4 linked regions of the Ovis aries genome follow. The protein of the gene in region 2 purifies or fractionates together with the protein of the main gene of each other region. This does not show direct contact. Links are inferred from orthologs where the notes say so. Each region holds a gene or a part of one and is shown on either strand. Other genes may lie near its edges.

What was found. The genes of interacting proteins can lie anywhere in the genome.
Region 1: the proteins of DERL2 (region 2) and AMFR purify together in Homo sapiens (affinity purification with western blotting; 4 studies listed by BioGRID and IntAct, with this or other methods). This does not show direct contact. The link is inferred for Ovis aries from reciprocal best matches to the Homo sapiens genes DERL2 and AMFR.
Region 3: the proteins of DERL2 (region 2) and SELENOS purify together in Homo sapiens (affinity purification with western blotting; 3 studies listed by BioGRID and IntAct, with this or other methods). This does not show direct contact. The link is inferred for Ovis aries from reciprocal best matches to the Homo sapiens genes DERL2 and SELENOS.
Region 4: the proteins of DERL2 (region 2) and SERPINA1 purify together in Homo sapiens (affinity purification with western blotting; 3 studies listed by BioGRID). This does not show direct contact. The link is inferred for Ovis aries from reciprocal best matches to the Homo sapiens genes DERL2 and SERPINA1.

Annotation. Positions count from the first base shown.
Region 1 is NC_056067.1:23,723,342-23,728,085, forward strand, and holds part of AMFR (E3 ubiquitin-protein ligase AMFR), read left to right. Parts: intron 1-1,377; coding exon 1,378-1,542; intron 1,543-2,839; coding exon 2,840-2,992; intron 2,993-4,744. UniProt on the Homo sapiens protein: E3 ubiquitin-protein ligase that mediates the polyubiquitination of lysine and cysteine residues on target proteins, such as CD3D, CYP3A4, CFTR, INSIG1, SOAT2/ACAT2 and APOB for proteasomal degradation.
Region 2 is NC_056064.1:25,956,259-25,961,673, reverse strand, and holds the start of DERL2 (derlin-2), read right to left. Parts: upstream 3,675-5,415; 5' UTR 3,648-3,674; coding exon 3,555-3,647; intron 2,692-3,554; coding exon 2,626-2,691; intron 720-2,625; coding exon 646-719; intron 1-645.
Region 3 is NC_056071.1:4,626,893-4,631,191, forward strand, and holds the end of SELENOS (selenoprotein S), read left to right. Parts: intron 1-670; coding exon 671-760; intron 761-857; coding exon 858-939; intron 940-2,735; coding exon 2,736-2,815; 3' UTR 2,816-3,365; downstream 3,366-4,299. UniProt on the Homo sapiens protein: Involved in the degradation process of misfolded endoplasmic reticulum (ER) luminal proteins. Participates in the transfer of misfolded proteins from the ER to the cytosol, where they are destroyed by the proteasome in a ubiquitin-dependent manner.
Region 4 is NC_056071.1:56,840,208-56,844,951, reverse strand, and holds part of SERPINA1 (alpha-1-antiproteinase), read left to right. Parts: intron 1-2,123; 5' UTR 2,124-2,127; coding exon 2,128-2,767; intron 2,768-3,632; coding exon 3,633-3,903; intron 3,904-4,744.

The DNA of each region.
Region 1 (4,744 bases), on a different chromosome or scaffold from region 2:
TTTAAATGCACTTAATGCCTACTGTGGCATTTGTCTAAGCACAATATATGTATTAACTTACTTAGTTTCCCCAACTATTCTATGAGATATGTGCTATTGTTATAAGACCTGTCTTATAGATGGGAAACCAAAGCATGGGGATGGTAACCAAAGCCACACAGGAAATAGATGGTGGAACAAAGGTTCAGAACCAGGGCACAGAATGTTCTAGCTTCACCTCATGCTTCCTGCCCCAGATCTAGAAACAGACATTCACTAAGGATTCCTAGTTCATTTTATTCTCTGAACAAAGGGTGTCTAGGCACAGTACAGTGTTTTAAAGTTCTCAAAATAACTCTTATCTTTAAATAGTCTTGTTATCAATGTGTTCCACATGTGGGTTCAATTATTTCTGTTTTTTTTTAAATTTTGCTTTTCTTTCTGTTTAAAATTTTGAATTGGTGAAACATTTACACAGTTTAAAAACTTTATATAAAAGTACCTTAGGAGCTGTGTTTCCATCCTCCTCCACACTTGGGTTCCACCACCACAGTTGATGGTGCTTTTTAATATCTGTTGGGTTGATGCTCCTCGTTGCCCTTCTTTTTTTTTTCAGGATGGTAAATATTTTTAAAACTGCATATTCTTAGTGTAAGAAAGAGTACAATAAAGCAGATATACTTATGTGGGCATGTACACTTATAATTAGAAACTATAATAACACCCATAACCTTTGATTGCTGAATAAATAGAATCTTGTACAAAGATATTCATTGCAATATTTTTTGAATGGTGAAAAAACATTTCAGTGACCATCTGTAACCACTAAAGTGGTCTATTCAGACAGTGTTCATTGGCATCAATCAGTGTTTTACATTTAGGAAGAAAATGGCATGAAAATGTTAAGGCATCATTTTTGTTTTACCTTTTCTTTGTACTTTTGCATACATTATTGATTATGGCTGGAAAATTAGCATATGTTATTTTTGAATCTGAAGGATGTTTAAAAAAAAGAATGTCTACTCTTTTGTTTTAAGAATTCAGAGAGCAGAAGTAGTAAAAATGATACTTGTAGCTATCACCATTCTTTTTTATTCTGTGTTTTATTCTGTTATATAACATATTATTAATATTATACTAAACTAATATTATTCCACTCTTAATGTCTAAAATTTCATAACTGACTGAGGAATTCAATCCAGAATCTATAGATTACTTCCTAGATGTCTTACTTTTGTTCTTCACAGGACTCATTTCTTTCTTTGCCTTTGGTTTTGTCATGGACAAGTGTTTTTAAACAGAGAATAGAATATTCTCTCCTCCTTAAAAGCCAGCTTATCATCTCTAGAACGGGTTAGGTGTAATGGTACTCACCTTTGCGAATATTTTTCTTTTTAGCACCTCAAAGACAAGTTTTGGAATTTTATTTTCTACAAGTTCATTTTCATTTTCGGGGTGCTGAATGTCCAAACAGTGGAAGAAGTGGTCATGTGGTGCCTCTGGTTTGCTGGACTGGTATTTCTGCACCTGATGGTTCAGCTCTGCAAGGACCGGTTTGAATATGTGAGTTTTTACCCAAGCTCTTCTTTTCCTGCTTAGGCATACACATGGCAGGTCTGAGTGGTGTCATACGAATGAGCCGTGACACACGGAAGGCTCCTGGCTCAGGCACCTCCTTCCTGTTTCTTGAGGAACTTTCTGCAGCACCCAAGGCATGCAGGGACAATGTCCCCTCAGGAGGCTTTCTCCCCTCCCCAGTAGTGTTACATGACAGCCCATGTGGGGTCAGTTCATCTAACACAAACTGTTTTGATCACAGTGAAAGGGAAGCTTAAACTGGAAAAATAGCTGATCTCTTCCAGATGCTTTCTAATCTCCTTCCGTTTTTTCCCTTCTTACTCTGGCCCTTGGGGCTCCTCTTTCTGACTAGTGTATGTTGTTTCCACCCCCGGGCCAGCGCTGAGGTAGCTCCCTTTGCTCCCTTGGTCCCTGGAGAAGTGAATCCTTTTCTATCGGGATATAAGTTCTGCTTTTTGGCTACAGAGTTGTGCAGGAGAATCTTCATTCCTGAGTGCTCCCGAACTAATCTCATAGATCCAGAGCAGATGGGCACCTGCCATCCTACTGCTCTGTGAAACCCACCCCACGGTGCTCTTTGCCCCTTTCTTTATGCAGTCTTCATGGACCATGGTGGTCCTTGCACCTTTTTGTGGGTTGATCTCAGTTCCACAGCCTTGAGCTGTTTTCGGAATTCAGCTCCCATCCCGGGCCATGAACAGGTACTGCTTGTCTCCCCAGCTGGTTTGGTATCTACAGTCTCCTGCTCAGGAGTCACAGCTCCAGACCTCCCTTCTCCAAGCTGTTGCCTCTGCTTGTGTACCATTAACATAGCACAATGATAGTGGTCCATCTTCACCTGGAGTACACATCAGTTGTCCCAGCTGTGAACAGGCTAGGAATGTCCCCCCAGCTGACCTTGAGGGGTTAGGATTAGAGCAAGATTGAGAAAGAGCACGACAGAACACGGTGTTGCCCAGAGTCCTGTTGAAGCCAGAGGGAGAATGACAGAACTCTGGCAAGTTGCTTCTAGAGGCTTGTAACCCCACCAGTAGGAGGATTCTTGAGAATTTGAGATGAAAATATCATGGATATTATGATCCCTAAATTAAGCGGTGAAGATCTCAAGGTACCAGCGCATACTCATATTGAGGTTGGCTGGAGAATTCTGACCATCTGGTAATGGGATACTTTTCTGTGCAGACTTCCCAACAAAGACACCAAGATTAACCTCAAATTTCTCGGTCAGGTCTAACCCTGCCATGCTGAAGACGAGCTTCTTTCTTCTGTTTTGTCCTTCCAGCTTTCTTTTTCTCCCACCACCCCCATGAGCAGCCACGGCCGAGTTCTGTCCCTCCTGATCGCCATGCTGCTTTCCTGCTGTGGATTAGCAGTCGTCTGTTGCGTCACGGGCTACACCCATGGGATGCACACGTTGGCTTTCATGGCTGCAGAGGTAAGATACAGACATAGGCTTTTGCTCTGGTGTGTTCCCGTGTACTTCCAAGGAAGCTAGAGGGTGGTTGACAGATTATTTTTCACCTGTGATGGATAGCTGGTCTTTCATTTTAACAAACATTTTTGGAGTTCCTTTGTTTTAGATTGGGTTCTGGTACTGAATGCTTCTATGTGTGTTATTTCATGTAATCCTTGCTACAGCCTAATGAAAAGTACAGTTGACCCTTGAACAACATGTGAACTGTGTGGGTCCACTTACATGTGGATATTTTTCAGGAGGAAGTACTACCCGGTCCCTGGGTGGTTGAATCCACAGATGCAGAGGAATTGGATATGGAGGGCTGACGATAAATTAGGCACTCCTCTGTTGCCCAAGGGTCAGCTGTAATTATTTTTGCCAGCAGTCATACATAGTGCTTACTCTACACTGGGGATTGTTGTAAATACCTTACATGCCTGTTTATGAATGGAAAAATGGCATGGAAGCTAAACTGCTAAAAGTTCCTAAGTGGTAAAATTAGCATAATCCAAGGTCTATGGCTTCAAAGTGGGAAAGGTTTTCTCCTTAAGAAGCAGTGCTTGGTAACAATAGGGAAATACCCTGTAATTGGTTTGGAGTAGGAAGTGGCAACTCACTCCAGTAATCCCACCTGGGAAATCCTATGGACAGAGGAGCCTGACCTGCTACAGTCCAGGGGGTTGCAAAGAGTTGGACTTAGCTTAGTGCCTTAACTACCACCTGTAATTGGTTAGTTTAGATAGGCCATAAATTAAGGTTTTACAAAATAATACAATAAATATGGAAACTGTATTAATTATTTTCAGAGAATAATCTGAGATACACATGTATATTGAAAATGTACTTTTAAAAACCTTTCTGAAAATACCAATTTCTGTTCAATGGAAATCAGATTTTTTGTATGTTCTTTCTTTTCAGTGGCTATATTTGCTTTTTTTTTCAGGCCAAAGGAAAAACACTCTTATCTTGTCCATAATTGCTGTTAATGAAAGAGTGAAATAATAGATATCTAGTATCACTATTAATAGATGGCTAATATCAAAACTGTAAGTTTAAACTGCTAATTGGGAATTTGTTAGAATAGGATTAAAATTTATTTTGCTTAATAGTGTTCATTTTGGAGTATAATGTAGTGTAAGTACATTGTTTTCCTTCTTTGTTTCTTGAGCTTTTAATTACTACTAGGCCAAACTTTAAAAAAGCTATACCTAAAAATAAAGATACTTAAAATAGATCTATTGGGTCATAGTACATATTTTTATTTTAGCTCATTAAGTTCTTAAGATAAAATACCATCTTATAGATTTGATATTTTGAACTAAATCATGTTTTTATAGTGTTTTTCTTCTGTGCAAAATATTTTCTATTTGTAAATGAAAGTTTTCTAATCTCTAAGAATGTTTATGTTTAATTCTAGATTAAGAGGAAACTTTTCTTAGCATCAGTTTCTATAATGCAAAATACCATGAAGGTCTTATTTTGTTATTGATTTCATGCATTCGGTTTTCTTCTGTGTCAATGAACAGGGTGCAGAAAGCATTATGCAGCAGGCAGGGACTCGTAGATGTCTAGGATAGCAGGGTCTAAACCTCACCTTGGGTAAATGGTCACCAGGCATTCAGACAGCCTCTTCAGGTTATCAGTTACGATGATTCAGTGCTGTACAAAATAGAAGTGATTGTCAAACTCAGTGACCTCAAGACTGTGGAAGGCATCCCCAGGAGCTGGACA
Region 2 (5,415 bases):
CCAGAATGATGTATCATAGAGAAGACACAGGAATCCATCCCAGGGCAGGAAGCCTATTACCCCTACAAGGCTCCTTGGCTACTGCAAATAAGCTGAACTGCAAATTCCCCCCTTCATCCAGGGGGTTGGGGTGCAGGAGAAATGCCCTGCCTGGTGGCCCCAATTACCATCTGACTACAGCAAAACCCTTCCTCTTTTTCAACAAACTGGAACATGGTGAGCCTGGCAGACAAAACACTGTCTTTCCAGCCGGCAGAACCAGCAACTGAGATCCAAGTAGATCTCAAGTTCTCCATCCCCCATGAACCCACTTCCAGGTTGGGCTTTATCACTTGGGACCCCTTGGTGTTATTTTGTAAGAACACCTCAATTAAATCACTCTGGTTTCCCTTAATCAGATCTGTAAGTGGCACATGGACAGAAATGTAAACATTTTATAATATCTCCCATTTGAATAAACAATGACCTACAAACACCCTCAAAACATTACTAACTGACCAACTATTCTGTGTATCACTGAGCCAATAGCCAGAAGTTACAGCTGAGATGGTAGCAAAAACAGCAGAGTTAATAGTTTCAAACTTAATACTGTATTTCCTAAGTAAAACTAAAGTTTCTATGCTAACCCCACTTAGTAAAGGATACAGAAAAATCATGTTAAATAAAAAATTGAATCCAACTGGCCCAAAAAACAAGAAATTGGTGATTAGCCTCCATATCTGTTAAAAAAAAAAAAAAAATCAAGAGAAAGACAGATTAAGTAAAACATACCAGGAAACATTTTCATATTAAGACAAGAGATAGCCTATGACTACAATGGTTGAAAGGCCACAAATAGGTGATTCTATTTTCTAAACTCAAAAGTGAGACACACAATCTGACACTGAATTTTTGTGCGGCTTCAGTGAGAGTCTGAAAGATATCACTTGCCCCTGGAAAGTTCTAAGCCTGACAGGACAGAAAACTTGCAATTGTGATTGTATTAAAAAAAAACAACACAAAAATCCATACCATATGGTCAGGCAAATGATGGGAAAAGTGTGATGGCAAGACTAAGTTAATCTGCAGACTAGGAAACAGAGCTTTAATATATGTAGTATCACAATCTAATGAACAATCTCAAGATACCAAAGGAAATTACAGGATCTAACAGCAATTGTTTCTATATTAGCCATCAGAAACATCCAGAATAAAGAGTAATTCTAAAGCAAATACTCGAACAGATATTCTGTTCGAATAGCCTGAACAGACAGCCAACTCACTACAAATAAAGATCTAATACTGTAATAATTAGTTTAACTGGTAGATATGCACTTATTTTCAAACCCTGATATACTCTTCCCCACCCAAATCATCCACGCCTGCAATAAGAACAACTACTCACAATGATAGAACATTTAACATTTTAAAGTGTTTTAAAATATTATTATCTCATGTGATTTTAATTATCCTGTGAGATGAGGAGGCTGACCAATACCATCCCCATTTCACACATGATGTAACTAAGAGACTTGGATGATTTTTAAATGGCCTGCCTAATATCACACAGCTTGCAAAGGGAGGCTCTGAACTCAAACCTAGAACTCCTAATTTCACACATGGTGTGAAGAGTTTAACCTCAGGCAAAATCAAGCCTTGTTTGTTTGGATCGAGCTAAAGCTCCCAGTGAAGGCCTTGTGAGTGCAGAAGGAAGAAGGCAGTGATAAGGGTTCACGGGACTCCTTTACGATCATTAAATTCTTAAGAATTGCTAACTATTAAAGTTGAAACAACTCAGAATTGTTTACTGCATACTAATTGCATCCAGGATTGTAGAGTCCTCAACCTTGTGAGACAGGCATATAAACAAGTGCAAGTATGAGATGAGAGATATAAAAAAAAGTATTTACAGATACTCTAGGGACACAAAGGAGGATGAATCCGAGAAGGCTACACAAAAACTGCATACTGAAAGACAAGCTGGAGCTCAACGGGTACAAAGTGAATGAAACACCTCTGTGACAGAGGAACAGCAGGTGTAGAAACAGACTTTTGAGCCTAGAACAAAAAAAACCCATCCCTCTTTAGCATTCTAATTACTGGAAAGGACTGTCTCTCACTGTAATCTAATAAACTGGCGTTTTCTTAGATGTCAGTCTTTGAGAGGATGATGTGATCCCTGGGAGATGGGTTAGAGCACTTATTGAGTTTCTGAACTGGATCACAGGGATAACACCAAGGTGGTGACTGTGCCACATGGTGCTGGATGGACTACATATGGACATCCTCTCTGACTCTCCCTGGACAACTAGCGGATCCAGTCTCCTCTCAATCTATACTACTAAATCTGAACCAGTGATTCCTAAATATAGGAACTGGACGCATCAAATCAAAACCATACAGGCAACTTTGTAACATAGCCTTGGTGATTCTGATTTGGTATATGCTGAGGATCTTGAGAATCTCTTTAAAAGTTCCAGGCTGCAGAATCATTGCTTTGTACTCCCCCACTGCCCCCCAACACTTATAATCAAATATTCCCACTGAGTTATTTGAGATAGTATATAGCAGGATTAGCTACTTAAAAGTAAGAAAAACAAGTTTAAAAACTGCAACATTAAATGGCAGTTGTGATGGGCCACTTACTTGAAAGTGTTTAAAGATTAATTCAGGATTGAAGTACAACTGAAAAGGTGTGATCAGTTCCAACTGCTGAAATAGAAAAACAACTTCTTCAAGCAAGTCAATCAAGAAACAAAATATCATCATTTACTACAAAAGACTGGCAGTTCTCGCAAATTTCCCACTCTCAGTGACTTAGACTGAATTATTTAAGGTTTACTTCTTAAGCTGGAGGAAGGTTGGTAAAGAGTTCTCTAGAACTGGCACAATTCTTTGCGTTCCCCAATACCTAACACAAAATAAAAGTCTGTTGTTTCAATAGCTGAGGCTGATGTGAAGGTATGGCAGGCAGGTGGTAATGTCTTAAATTCAGGGCAAGTAAGACCAGCTGCTAGGATTATGCCCAATACATGGGCATCACCTAAAACAACTGTGCGAAGCAACAGAATTCACTCGAACCAAGACTCAACACCCTGCCACTGTGAGGGCTGAGTACTTCCAGCCAACCTCTGTAAGTCTCTTTATTTCAAGACTTTTCCCGCTCAACAACTTCCATCTTTCTATCTTCAACGTCTACGTTTCTCCACTAAGCGGACCTTCCTCCCAGTAGTCACAAAGGATCATTCTGTGGCTCTGAGAACACCATCAGAGTTCTCTGACACGTTTCCTGGGTGGGCGGCTCCCGCAGCCCTGACTTGGTACAGGTCCTGCCTTTATGTCTCAGAAACTGACCCGCAGTCCTGATCCTCCACCCCTTATGGAACAGCACCTCTTTTTCTGGATCACTGGATAGTACTTACGGGGCGATACTGAACCCCAGAGTGAGCCCTGTACGCCTCCACCCACCCTTGAGACCAACCACTCTGAGCTTCCCCAAGGCCCAAACCCCAGTTTCCCGAGGACCCGGGCATATCCAGTACAACTCATGAGAAGCTGGCGCTGCAGCTGCTCACCACAGCGGCGGTGGTGAGGACGCAGGCGGTGGTATAGGCACGGCTGACCGGTGGGATCTGCAGGTACTCCAGCCGGAGGCTCTGGTACGCCATCTTCCCCACCGCCGCCGGCCCCCCCCCACCCCCCACTTCCCCTTCCGCCAGTCCATCCCAGCGGCGGGGCGGGATCAGGGCGGAACCAGAGCGGGGCCCTCCCCGTTACGCTGCTATCCAATCAGCGCTGATCAACCGTCCAGCCACCAACCGCTAGAGCCCGAAGAAAAGCACATCCGCCAATCACGAGTTGCGTTTCCGCGGCGGCCCAGCCTAACTTCTCCACCCACCAACGTCTTGGGGAAGGGAGTGAATACCGATTCCTTCTGCCAATCCCCGCCGGCCACAGCTAGCTTTCCCGCCCGGCTCCTTTCCGTCACCAATCTAGGTGGCCCCCTCCCCAGACAGTCGGCCAATTAGGAGCGCGGGGGCATCCTGCCCTTGCTGTCGTTCGCTAAAGCAGAGAGCGGTCAGAATCTGGGGGAGTCAACCGCGCCGCCTATCTCTGGCAGCCTGCGGTGGTTTAAAGAGGTGGCGGGAAGCTGGTGTTTGGTCGAATTCATCACTCTTATAGTCGCTTGGGTAAGTATCCACGGGGCTGCATTTTCTCTGAAGAAAAGCGGGAACAGGTGGCACTCGGTGGGGCGCCATCCCGGGCGCTAGAGCGGCCTGATGGAGCAGCGTCTCCAGCGGGCCGCGAACCTCCACCCTGAAGGTCCCGGCATGCAGCGGGGGCGCGGGGCCTGTCGGGAGCCACTTCTCAAGCCGGAAGTAGTTCCTGCCCGGAGGTTTCTGGAGCTTCGGCTCCTCAACTCGCTGAGGTGACCGGTGTACTTCCCGCGTATCACCTGCAATATCGGTTGAAGCCTTACTCATCCTGCCCTCAGGAAATCTAAGGCTTGCAGAGAAGATAGGCTTGTGATAATAGTAACCTAAAGCAGGACTTGGGGTCGCAAAGAGTAGGTCACGACTGAGCGACTTGAACTGAACTGAAAGCAGAACTTGATCAGTTCCCGAAGAGAGGCCCTGTTGGTTTAACGTGGATTTTTTAGTTTGGAGGCTTGTTTAGGATTGGGTAGAGCTCATGAAAAGCAGTCCAGTATTGGTAGAAACTGCTGAAGCAAGAATTTCAGAGAATCTTGCTGTAACAAATTGTTGGCGAGATTCCCTGGACTAGGAAATGGCAACACACTCCAGTATTCTTGCCTGGAAAATTCCATGGACAGAGGCTCCTGGCGGCCTGCAGTCTATGGGATCTAAAGAGTCAGACACGGGGAGAGCACGCATGCCACGCATCCCATTAAAGAGTTCATCAGTCTTTGGCTGGGGGTTTCATAATGAACAACCATTTGGACAATAAAAATAATATTCTGGTCAAGAATAGTAGAGTCATGCTAATGGAAACAGTAAGTTGTTGGGTGGGGCAAGGAGGCTCTTTGGTAGTTTCAGTCCTCAGTGTTCAACCTGTGTGTGTGTATGGGTGGGGCAGGGAGGAGGGGGGGAGGGGGTTAGATGTTTTTGGTTTTCAAGAAACAACGCTGTAAAACCATTTCACCAGATTGGCAAAAATTAGAAGCATTAATTACTTCACATGCTTATGTAAGGCATCTGGTTCCATCACTTCATGGGAAATAGATGGGGAGCAGTGGAAACAGTGTCAGACTTTATTTTGGGGGGGCTCTAAAATCACCGCAGATGGTGATTGCAGCCATGAAATTAAGAGACACTTACTCCTTGGAAGGAAAGTTATGACCAACCTAGAGAGCATATTCAAAAGCAGAGACATTACTTTGCCAACAAAGGTCTGTCTAGTCAAGGCTATGGTTTT
Region 3 (4,299 bases), on a different chromosome or scaffold from region 2:
TGGCGTCGCAGTTTAATTGGAACCAGAGTGAATTGAAGCTTGGGTTTGGATTGCCTCAGGAACTGAGAGAGTTAGTGACCTTTGTGCGCACGTGCGTTGCAGTACCCATTTGTTGTTCAAGGAGTGGGAAGCAGAGATGAAGACCTCGGGTGCTGTGTTTCCCTCCTGTTCACTGCTCAAGCTTTCCCAGGTGCTCACTGTTGGACATGGTTTCCTACTGAGATTAGTTTTCTCTTATACTCCCATAGTACCTTACTTTCAGAGAATTCTCAAATTTGTTCTCATTGGCTCCTCACAGCCTTCCAAGTTGAAGGGTTAAGTGACTTTCCTCAGGTGACACAACCAAATAGCAGCAAAGCATGCCTGCCAGACACACTGACCCTTTTCAAGTCAGGGTTCTTCAACATGACCAGAAATGCCTAGTTTAAAAGAAGAATCGGTATCCTTTCTTCTGTGACACTTTCTGCTTTCTTTAATAGTATGGAAAAGCGAAGGATTCTGTATCTGAATTAAACTCACACACCACTAGATAACAGCTACTTTATTAACTGAAGAAAGTGCAGGTGAAAGTTTGAAGAACATTTAAATTACAGATTATCAAAAGCGCATTTTCTTTGAGAAAGATGACAGCTTATAAATTCATTTTGTATCATGTGTGATTCTTCCTCAGCTTGAAGAAGAAAAAAGGAGACAGAAGATTGAAATGTGGGATAGCATGCAAGAAGGAAAAAGTTATAAAGGAAATACAAGAAAGCCTCAGGTGATGTAGCCTTCAACCTAGTGGACTTTTTTCAAGTAGGTGAAGATTCCTGGAGTAGAATGTCTTAACTAGATTCTTAAGCCTGTATATGTTCAAGCAGGAAGAAGACAGTCCTGGGCCTTCTACTTCATCAGTCATCCCGAAACGAAAATCTGACAGAAAGCCTTTGCGAGGAGGAGGTAAGTGTCAAACATTAAAGCATTCTGAACAATGACTGGCTAAATTTACCTGAAACAGGATTCTCTTTTCTTGATTCATAGTCTGTAAACAGAGACTAATTCCTAAGTATAGGTTATGAAGATTCAATAAAAGAAACAGATATAAAACAGCCTTCAGCAGCTAGAAATGACCAACCTACTGAACCCTACTGTTGCCCCTGGGCCTCCAGCAAGGGCGTGGGTGCATGTCCTGTTTCCAGGAGGCCACTGACCTCCTTGGCCTCACAAAAGTTAGCATTTGATGAGCAAAGAAAAGGAGGTCACTCGAGGCGCTCAGGAAATAATTGGGATGGTTGCAGTTGTATTTTAGTGTTTTTCACTTCATCCCAGTCCTGTAAGGGGTAAGTTAAGTGAGGCAAGGAGTAGTTTGCCTGTTTTGCATATAAGTGGGTCAAGGGGCCTAGGACGCAAGTTTTGGCCTTTCCAGCCAGAGCTGCCTTGTTTCTTACAAATAACTCCCTCAAGGAGGCATGAACAGATAGATACTCATTAAGAGACCTTTTGTGTGCAGTACCCTGAAGCACTCTAGGTGGTACCATAGCAGTGTGTACCATCCCATCCTTGAGGACTTTCATGTACTTTTGGGAAGATGGGACCCCCACACAGTTGAAAATAAGTAATCCTTTATGATCTGCCAGGAGTTCCTCCTCCATCTGGAGAGAGGGGAGGGCAAAAGCATTAGAATGCTTTGGGAAGGAACCAGTTCTAGGCTGAAGATACTTTCTTCTATCTGGGAAGAGGGGTTTGCTCTGGGTAGGTGCCACAGAGGCAGAGGTGTGGAAGCCTGGCCAACCTCTTAGAGGACTGAGGGGAGTCTGTGAAGCCTGTGGGCTGCCCTTAAAGGCTGGGTTCTAATCCCTTCCTTTGTGTTAGGAACTCAGAGCTGGCTTGTATAGGGGAGTGGTATGTCTGAAAAGAAAATGCTTTTTTAAGTCTTTTTCTTGCTCCAGCAAGAAATAATCTTCTAAGACCATTTTGCAGAGCAAAGAGTGGTAGTATTCAGGAGACGATTGTAGAAAATGGAATGTATGGTGTGCTGTGTGCATGCCTCTAGCATTGCCAGTAATCCAGAGCTTGGGGGCTTGGAATGGCCTGTCTTTATAGGCCTTAAAGAAACTGAGGCACAGGGAGTTGGTGACCAAAGATTCTACAGTAAGGAACAAAACCACCTCATTTAAGGTCTTGCTAAGTCTAGAGCCTGAGCAGAATGGTCGCCTAATGTCTGTTAACTTTAGTAAGTTAATGAGTGGGCAGGGATGAGTGTGGGGGCTGGGGCATGTGGATTTCCCAGTTCTGACTGGTGAAAGCAACAGCAAGTTCCATTCTGTTTTGATTTTTATAATTTATTTTCTGTAGCTTGAGCAGTTCTTACTTGAATGTATTCATTTTATTAAGGACTACAGTTAGAAACCTTTATATACTTAAATTTAGCCATCTTGAGAGGCTTTGGGGGCAATTTTTTTGTGTATTTGGAGGGGATTTTCATGTTTTGATAGTTACAACAGAAGCTGAATGGCTTGTTTTATTCAAGTCAGTTCAGACTGCGATCACATTATAGAAAGTAAGATCAGTATATACAATGCAATAGAATGCAGTCACACTGTAAAGTTTTTTTTGTCACGTGGTAGCTTAAAGTTTTCTGAAAATGTTATGAGAGTAGGATCATATCTTTGCAGTGATTTGCATATCAGGCTTACAGTCCTCTGTTTGATGCAAAATGCTTCTAGCACTGTTTTGCTTCCTTTCTCTCGTCACAGGTTACAATCCTTTGTCTGGTGAAGGTGGTGGAACCTGCTCCTGGAGACCTGGACGCAGAGGACCCTCATCTGGTGGATGAGGCTAGGAATCTTGTTAGTGTCACTTTTGACATTAGCAAGATGAATCCTTAACCCTCAACTCAATTGTCTTACGCACGCTTTTCACAGTCATTAGCCAGGGGGAGGGGCTTTCTTTCTGTTCTTAACTACACTGATGACTTCAAGGATTGAAGGCAGCATAGGGTGTGGACATGGCCACTAGGCAGTAATTGCAGTTAGTCACACTGCACTGAAGCCAGTGACTGTTCATTGATTTTACAGGTCTTTGTTAGTTGGTAGCTAAGGGCTTGCAGATGATTGGTGATCTTGATAAAAGAGACCTGGCAATGATCCTTCAAGTTAAGAGCTCCTGGCTGGTAGGACAGTTTCTGTGACAGCTTGTGTTGAATGATGTCTTCCTTGTAAATGGTGAGCCCACCAGCAAGGATTACTGATGCAGACAGTTGACGGGGTTGTTCTGTAAATTTATATGTACAGAACTGTTTTAGAAAAAAAGAGACTGTAAATATTTAAAAAAAAAATGCAGAGAACATTTTCAGTATCTTTATTAAATTTAAGGAAATTTCTTTATGCACTTGAATTTGTCTGTCTAACATAATACAGCTTTTTATCATTCATAACCTCCCATTAATAAGATTTGCTTTCTCGTCTCATTATTGCTCACCTCAGTGAGCGTGAAAAGTGGGACAGCTGCAGTGGTTTTCAGAGCTTGAGGGCTCCTGGGGGTTTATCCGCAAAACCAGGTACTTGGAGTTGAGTTTCTGCATTAATAGGGCAAAGAAACATCTTGCGTGTAAGTACCTCAGGGGTTATTGGGGTTTTGGGAAGCCCTGTGAGTCTCGCACTCATTTCTTATGTCCTTATCGAGAATCTCTGTGAAGTATGTTATAAAGGGCCAGGTAGTAAAGATTTTAGGCTTTAGGCACAGTCTATATTTTTAAAATTTTTAAAGAATTTTTAAATACATTTAAAAATATTTAGCTTACGGGCTAGATTTGTCCTGCCGCCTGTAGTTTGCTGATCCCTGCTTCATGTCAAGATCATGAGAAAGAATAATGGAAAGTTTTAGACTTGGGTTAAAATATTTCATCTAGGTCTGTTATTTACGTCCAGAGAGATTGATTCCCTGTAGGATATAAACGAACTTTTAAGAGTTCTTCCTTTAAAATATTTTCTGTAGTTGAACATACATAGTTAAGCAGCTATTAACTATTCATTTTAGGAATAGAAGGCATGTTTCAGTATACTATTAGCTGTGACTTTTCCCTCAAACCTCCTTTTTTTCCCCCATAAATTAAGGAATTATCAGGTGTAAACACATAGGAAGAAATGCTGAGTTGTGTGTACCCACCTTGTATCTGGCAGTATGACTGGTGGTGGAGGGGTGGTGCCATGTGACTAACTGATCGGCAGATAATAGAAGAGGGAAGGAAACTAATTAGTGTAACAGCATTTGAAGAGCACTTGCTGTGTGCCAGGCACATACATTTATAGTTAATCCTCA
Region 4 (4,744 bases), on a different chromosome or scaffold from region 2:
CCAGCATTGGTACACAGGGACCTCATTTAGGTCTCCCTTAACCTCAGTTTATACAGCTGGGCAGAGTGAGGCCCCAAAACAAGTAAATACTTACCCAAGACCAAGTGGACAGAGGTAGCCCTGTGCCGACGGGAAGCCTCAGCCTCTGACTCTGAGGCCAATTGGTGTATATAGTGTCCCCATCGTGCAGAGTTCAAATCCCTCATCATCTCTGAGCCTCGCCAAGATGGGGAATTTCCATCAACCACGAAGGACCACACCAAAATCCAGTGGGGAGGTAGCGAGAAACCCAAGGGTGATGGAAATATACAGAATTAATCTCAGCACCATCTTCAGCTCTAAAACCACTGGCTAGTTTACGAAAAATATAAACAGGTATTACATAATCTGCGGTCTCCTCTATTTGGGTTATTTAGAGGCCTGAAGTCCAGGGGGGGGGAAAAAAAAAGGTAATGGAAAGAAACCAGTTTTGTGCTTCATCTTGTTGTTTATTGGAAAGAAACTTTAAGTCCAAGGAGGTAAGTAAAACCCAGCATTCTTTGTTCACAACTTTTTAACCTCGGGTTTTCATATGCCAAGTTCAAGAGCTCCTTTGTCTTTGTATTTTATTAAAATGATGGTTTTAGTTATGTGACTAATATCAATAGCCAGCTCTGTGGCTGCAGGCACACCCTGTCCTCTGCTTAGACCTCAGTTCCTTTATCTGGGAAGAGAGCAGGTGGTACTTAGGAGACCTCGGCCTGGTGGCCCAAGGCAGGGGTCTGTGTGGAGTGGAGGGAGCTCTGTGGAGCAGAGGTGGTCCTGTGTTGCTGCAGGAGACATTGACTTTGATGATCGCTAGATGGAGTCTGACCTTGCTGGGCCAGCCACAGGCCTTGCCATTCCCTGTTGTCTCCCCCGACCAGCCATGGAGCTCATCTTCCTCCCAGTGATCCTCTGAGGGCTTCTGCTTGCCCATCTACCAGCCTCTCCTTCAAGGCCATCTGCTCTCTCAGGTGCTTTCAATGTAAGGTGTGGAGGCTAGACTTGGTGAAGATCTTACTTTCAAAGATCCCCCAAATCTGACTTTCTACCTGCGACAAAGTGAAGACCAGAGAAACTAAGCAACTCATCCAAGGCCACACAGCAGGTGGTGACAGAGACCTAGATTAGAAGCCAGGTCTGTCTGAGAAGGAAAAGATGCTTTTCCAACTCTTACCCACCCACCCCCACCACCGCCCCCACCTCCCGACACACACAAAGACAAATTCCACTTGGCTGGAGGAGCCAGGACCTTCAACACCCACAGCATGCTGAGCACAGAGCTGGGACAGAGGAGGCAAGCAGGGTGTGTAAGCTGACCGTCAGCACAGTCCTGTGACTGAGGCCACAGACTCACTGTGAGGGCAGCCCTCCAGCTCAGGAACATCTACCAGGGGCTGAGGTTCATTGTGAGTGTTGGGGTACAGCCCCCTGCCCCAGCTGGGTTTCCTCACGGCTCTTCTGTGTTCCTGCTGTGTGTCATTGAAGCAAGATCCCTCCCACTCTGGGGTGTCACCTCTCTATCCATTAGGTAACAGATTTTAGTGGAAGTCCTCCTAGGGCTGTTCCAGATCCAATCATCCCTGAGTCCGATTCAGCCAACCTCCTGGGTCATTATCCACTTCCTGTCCCTCAGTTTCCTCTTCCCAAAATAAGGCCAGCAGCACTTACACCTTGGGATATTAGCACTTACACATTGTGGATATTAACAGAGCCATCGAGAACGTGGACTCTAGACCCAGACGACCTGGGAGTGTGATTCTGATTCTCTTACTTATCTGTCCTGGAACCCTGGACAAGTGACTTAACCTCTAGGAGCCTGGTCTCATCTGTAAGCCCAGGGGTGTCACATGACCTAGGTCAGAGGACTGTTACCGGAACAGGGTGAGATAAGACAGTAAAGAGTTTAGGATGGAATTTGGCGTGCAATAAGTGCCATCAAATCCCTCCCATTGTTCTGAGTCTTTCAGTGATGCCGACATAGAAGAGTGTTTGGCATATAGATCCTTGATAAACTGGTTGCTTTGACCTGGCATCTGTCAGTGGCCAAGGGACTCACTGTATGGTCTGACCCAGGCATGGTACCCTTCTCTCTCTTGCAGGATAATGGCACTCTCCATCACACGGGGCCTTCTGCTGCTGGCAGCCCTGTGCTGCCTGGCCCCCACCTCCCTGGCTGGGGTTCTCCAAGGACACGCTGTCCAAGAGACAGATGATACATCCCACCAGGAAGCAGCCTGCCACAAGATTGCCCCCAACCTGGCCAACTTTGCCTTCAGCATATACCACAAGTTGGCCCATCAGTCCAATACCAGCAACATCTTCTTCTCCCCAGTGAGCATCGCTTCAGCCTTTGCGATGCTTTCCCTGGGAGCCAAGGGCAACACTCACACTGAGATCCTGGAGGGCCTGGGTTTCAACCTCACTGAGCTAGCAGAGGCTGAGATCCACAAAGGCTTTCAGCATCTTCTCCACACCCTCAACCAGCCAAACCACCAGCTGCAACTGACCACCGGCAATGGTCTGTTCATCAATGAGAGTGCAAAGCTAGTTGATACGTTTTTGGAGGATGTCAAGAATCTATATCACTCCAAAGCCTTCTCCATCAACTTCAGGGATGCTGAGGAGGCCAAGAAGAAGATCAATGATTATGTAGAGAAGGGAAGCCATGGAAAAATTGTGGATTTGGTAAAGGATCTTGACCAAGACACAGTTTTTGCTCTGGTGAATTACATATCCTTTAAAGGTAAGGTTGCATAACCAGTCTGAGCTTTTCTGCACAGAATCACCCTCAAAATAGTCTCAAACACTCAGTTCTTAACTTTCCTGGCAGCACAGAATGGGATATAGCCATGCATCTCTGCATGTGTTATTCAGTTTTCCACACATGACCACTAAAACTTCCTATGATCAAATAGGGTTAGGGAATTATGAATTAAACAAAGTACCTTCATCTCTGCAGGACTTTTCAGAGCCCTAAATGACCTAACATGCACTGCAAATTCCCACCAGAGAGAGGTGTATGATATGCAGTGCCTCCCAAAATAGAGTCAGAAAAACAAACCCCGAACCACACTTCTGACAACTGCAGCGCAGAGGAAGTAGTGACACCTTTGGAGTCAGGAAGACCAAGATTCAGATGCTTCCTCTACCACATGAGCCTCCACGAAATTGAAATTCTGGATCCTATACCAGCCTTGCATTATTCTCCCCCGAAGTCTTTTCTGTAGACTGCTGTTTCACTTTAGACCCATTTTACAGATGGTAAAACTGAGGTTTGGGGCTTCCCAGGTGGCTCAGGGGTAAAGAATCCACCTTCCAATGCAGGAGCACAGGAGCACAGGAGATGTGGGTTTGATCCCTGGCTCAGGAAGCTCCCCTGAAGAAGGAAATGGCAAAGCCCTCTAGTATTCTTGCCTGGGGAATCCCATCGACAGAAGAGCCTGGTGGGCTACAGTTCATGGGGTCGCAAAGAGTCGGACACGAGCACACACGCAAATCTGAGGCTCAGAGAGAAGTACCTCACCAGGAGGCTCAAGGCTCCTTTATTCTCCCACTGATACTAAACCTCCTCCCACCCTTGGCTGACGTCCGCTATCTCTTCTCTCCAGGAAAATGGGAGAAGCCCTTCGAGGTCGAGCACACCACGGAGAGGGACTTCCACGTGAATGAGCAAACCACCGTGAAGGTGCCCATGATGAACCGCCTGGGCATGTTTGACCTCCACTACTGTGACAAGCTCGCCAGCTGGGTGCTGCTGCTGGACTACGTGGGCAACGTCACCGCCTGCTTCATCCTGCCCGACCTCGGGAAACTGCAGCAGCTGGAAGACAAGCTCAACAACGAACTCCTCGCCAAGTTCCTGGAAAAGAAATATGCAAGGTGACCTCCCAAGCAGACCGACCCGGGAGCTGCCACATCTGGTCCGGTCAGAGGGTGGGGGGATAGACCCACCGACCACAGCCATGACCGCCGTGTGTCTGCTTCCAACAGAGGCCAGAATGCATGCACGCGGTACCAGGCAGACTTCAGGAGAGGGCTGGTGCCCAGGGGTGAGGACGGAAAGTCCTGTCCTTGAGGACTTCCTCCCCAGCCTGGACACTGCCCCTTCCTGGTGCACGGGAAAGCAATGTCAACACATGTTATTGGCAAACCCAGAAAGAAGAGGATGGGCTTCCTGGCAAAGGGGGCAGTTGAATGTAGATTACAGGATAGAGTGTGAATTACCGGCTAAAAAGTCCACGGCAGGATGAGGGTAGGGGAGGGGGGAGAAATGCTTGGAGAGGCTGAAAAAGCCAACGCCCAGAGCAGGAAACTCCAGGACCTGTTTGAGGCTGGTTCTGATTCCTCTGTCATTAGACGAGTGTGGTTCGACCAGGTCCCCATCATGCACTCCGCATCAGTACCTGTCTCTGTGTTTGCAAATATGCCCAGGCCCAGATGAGCAATTTTATCATGTATAACATAAAACAAAGATGAAAATACAGAGAAGTACTCCTCACGCTCTCAAAAGATGTCACTCAGGACCTGCCACCACACCCCACAGTCCCCTGGGATACTGGCCCTGGACGAGTCCCAGTCTAGGGGGCACGACCAAACCCTACAGGGAAGTAGTGAGTACCGTCCTTCCAGAGGACACCCCAGATCCTCCGGGAGGCCTTCTCAGAGGAGGTGGCCCCTGAGAGGCTCTGCAGGACAAGAGGATCGCTCTGATTCTAATATC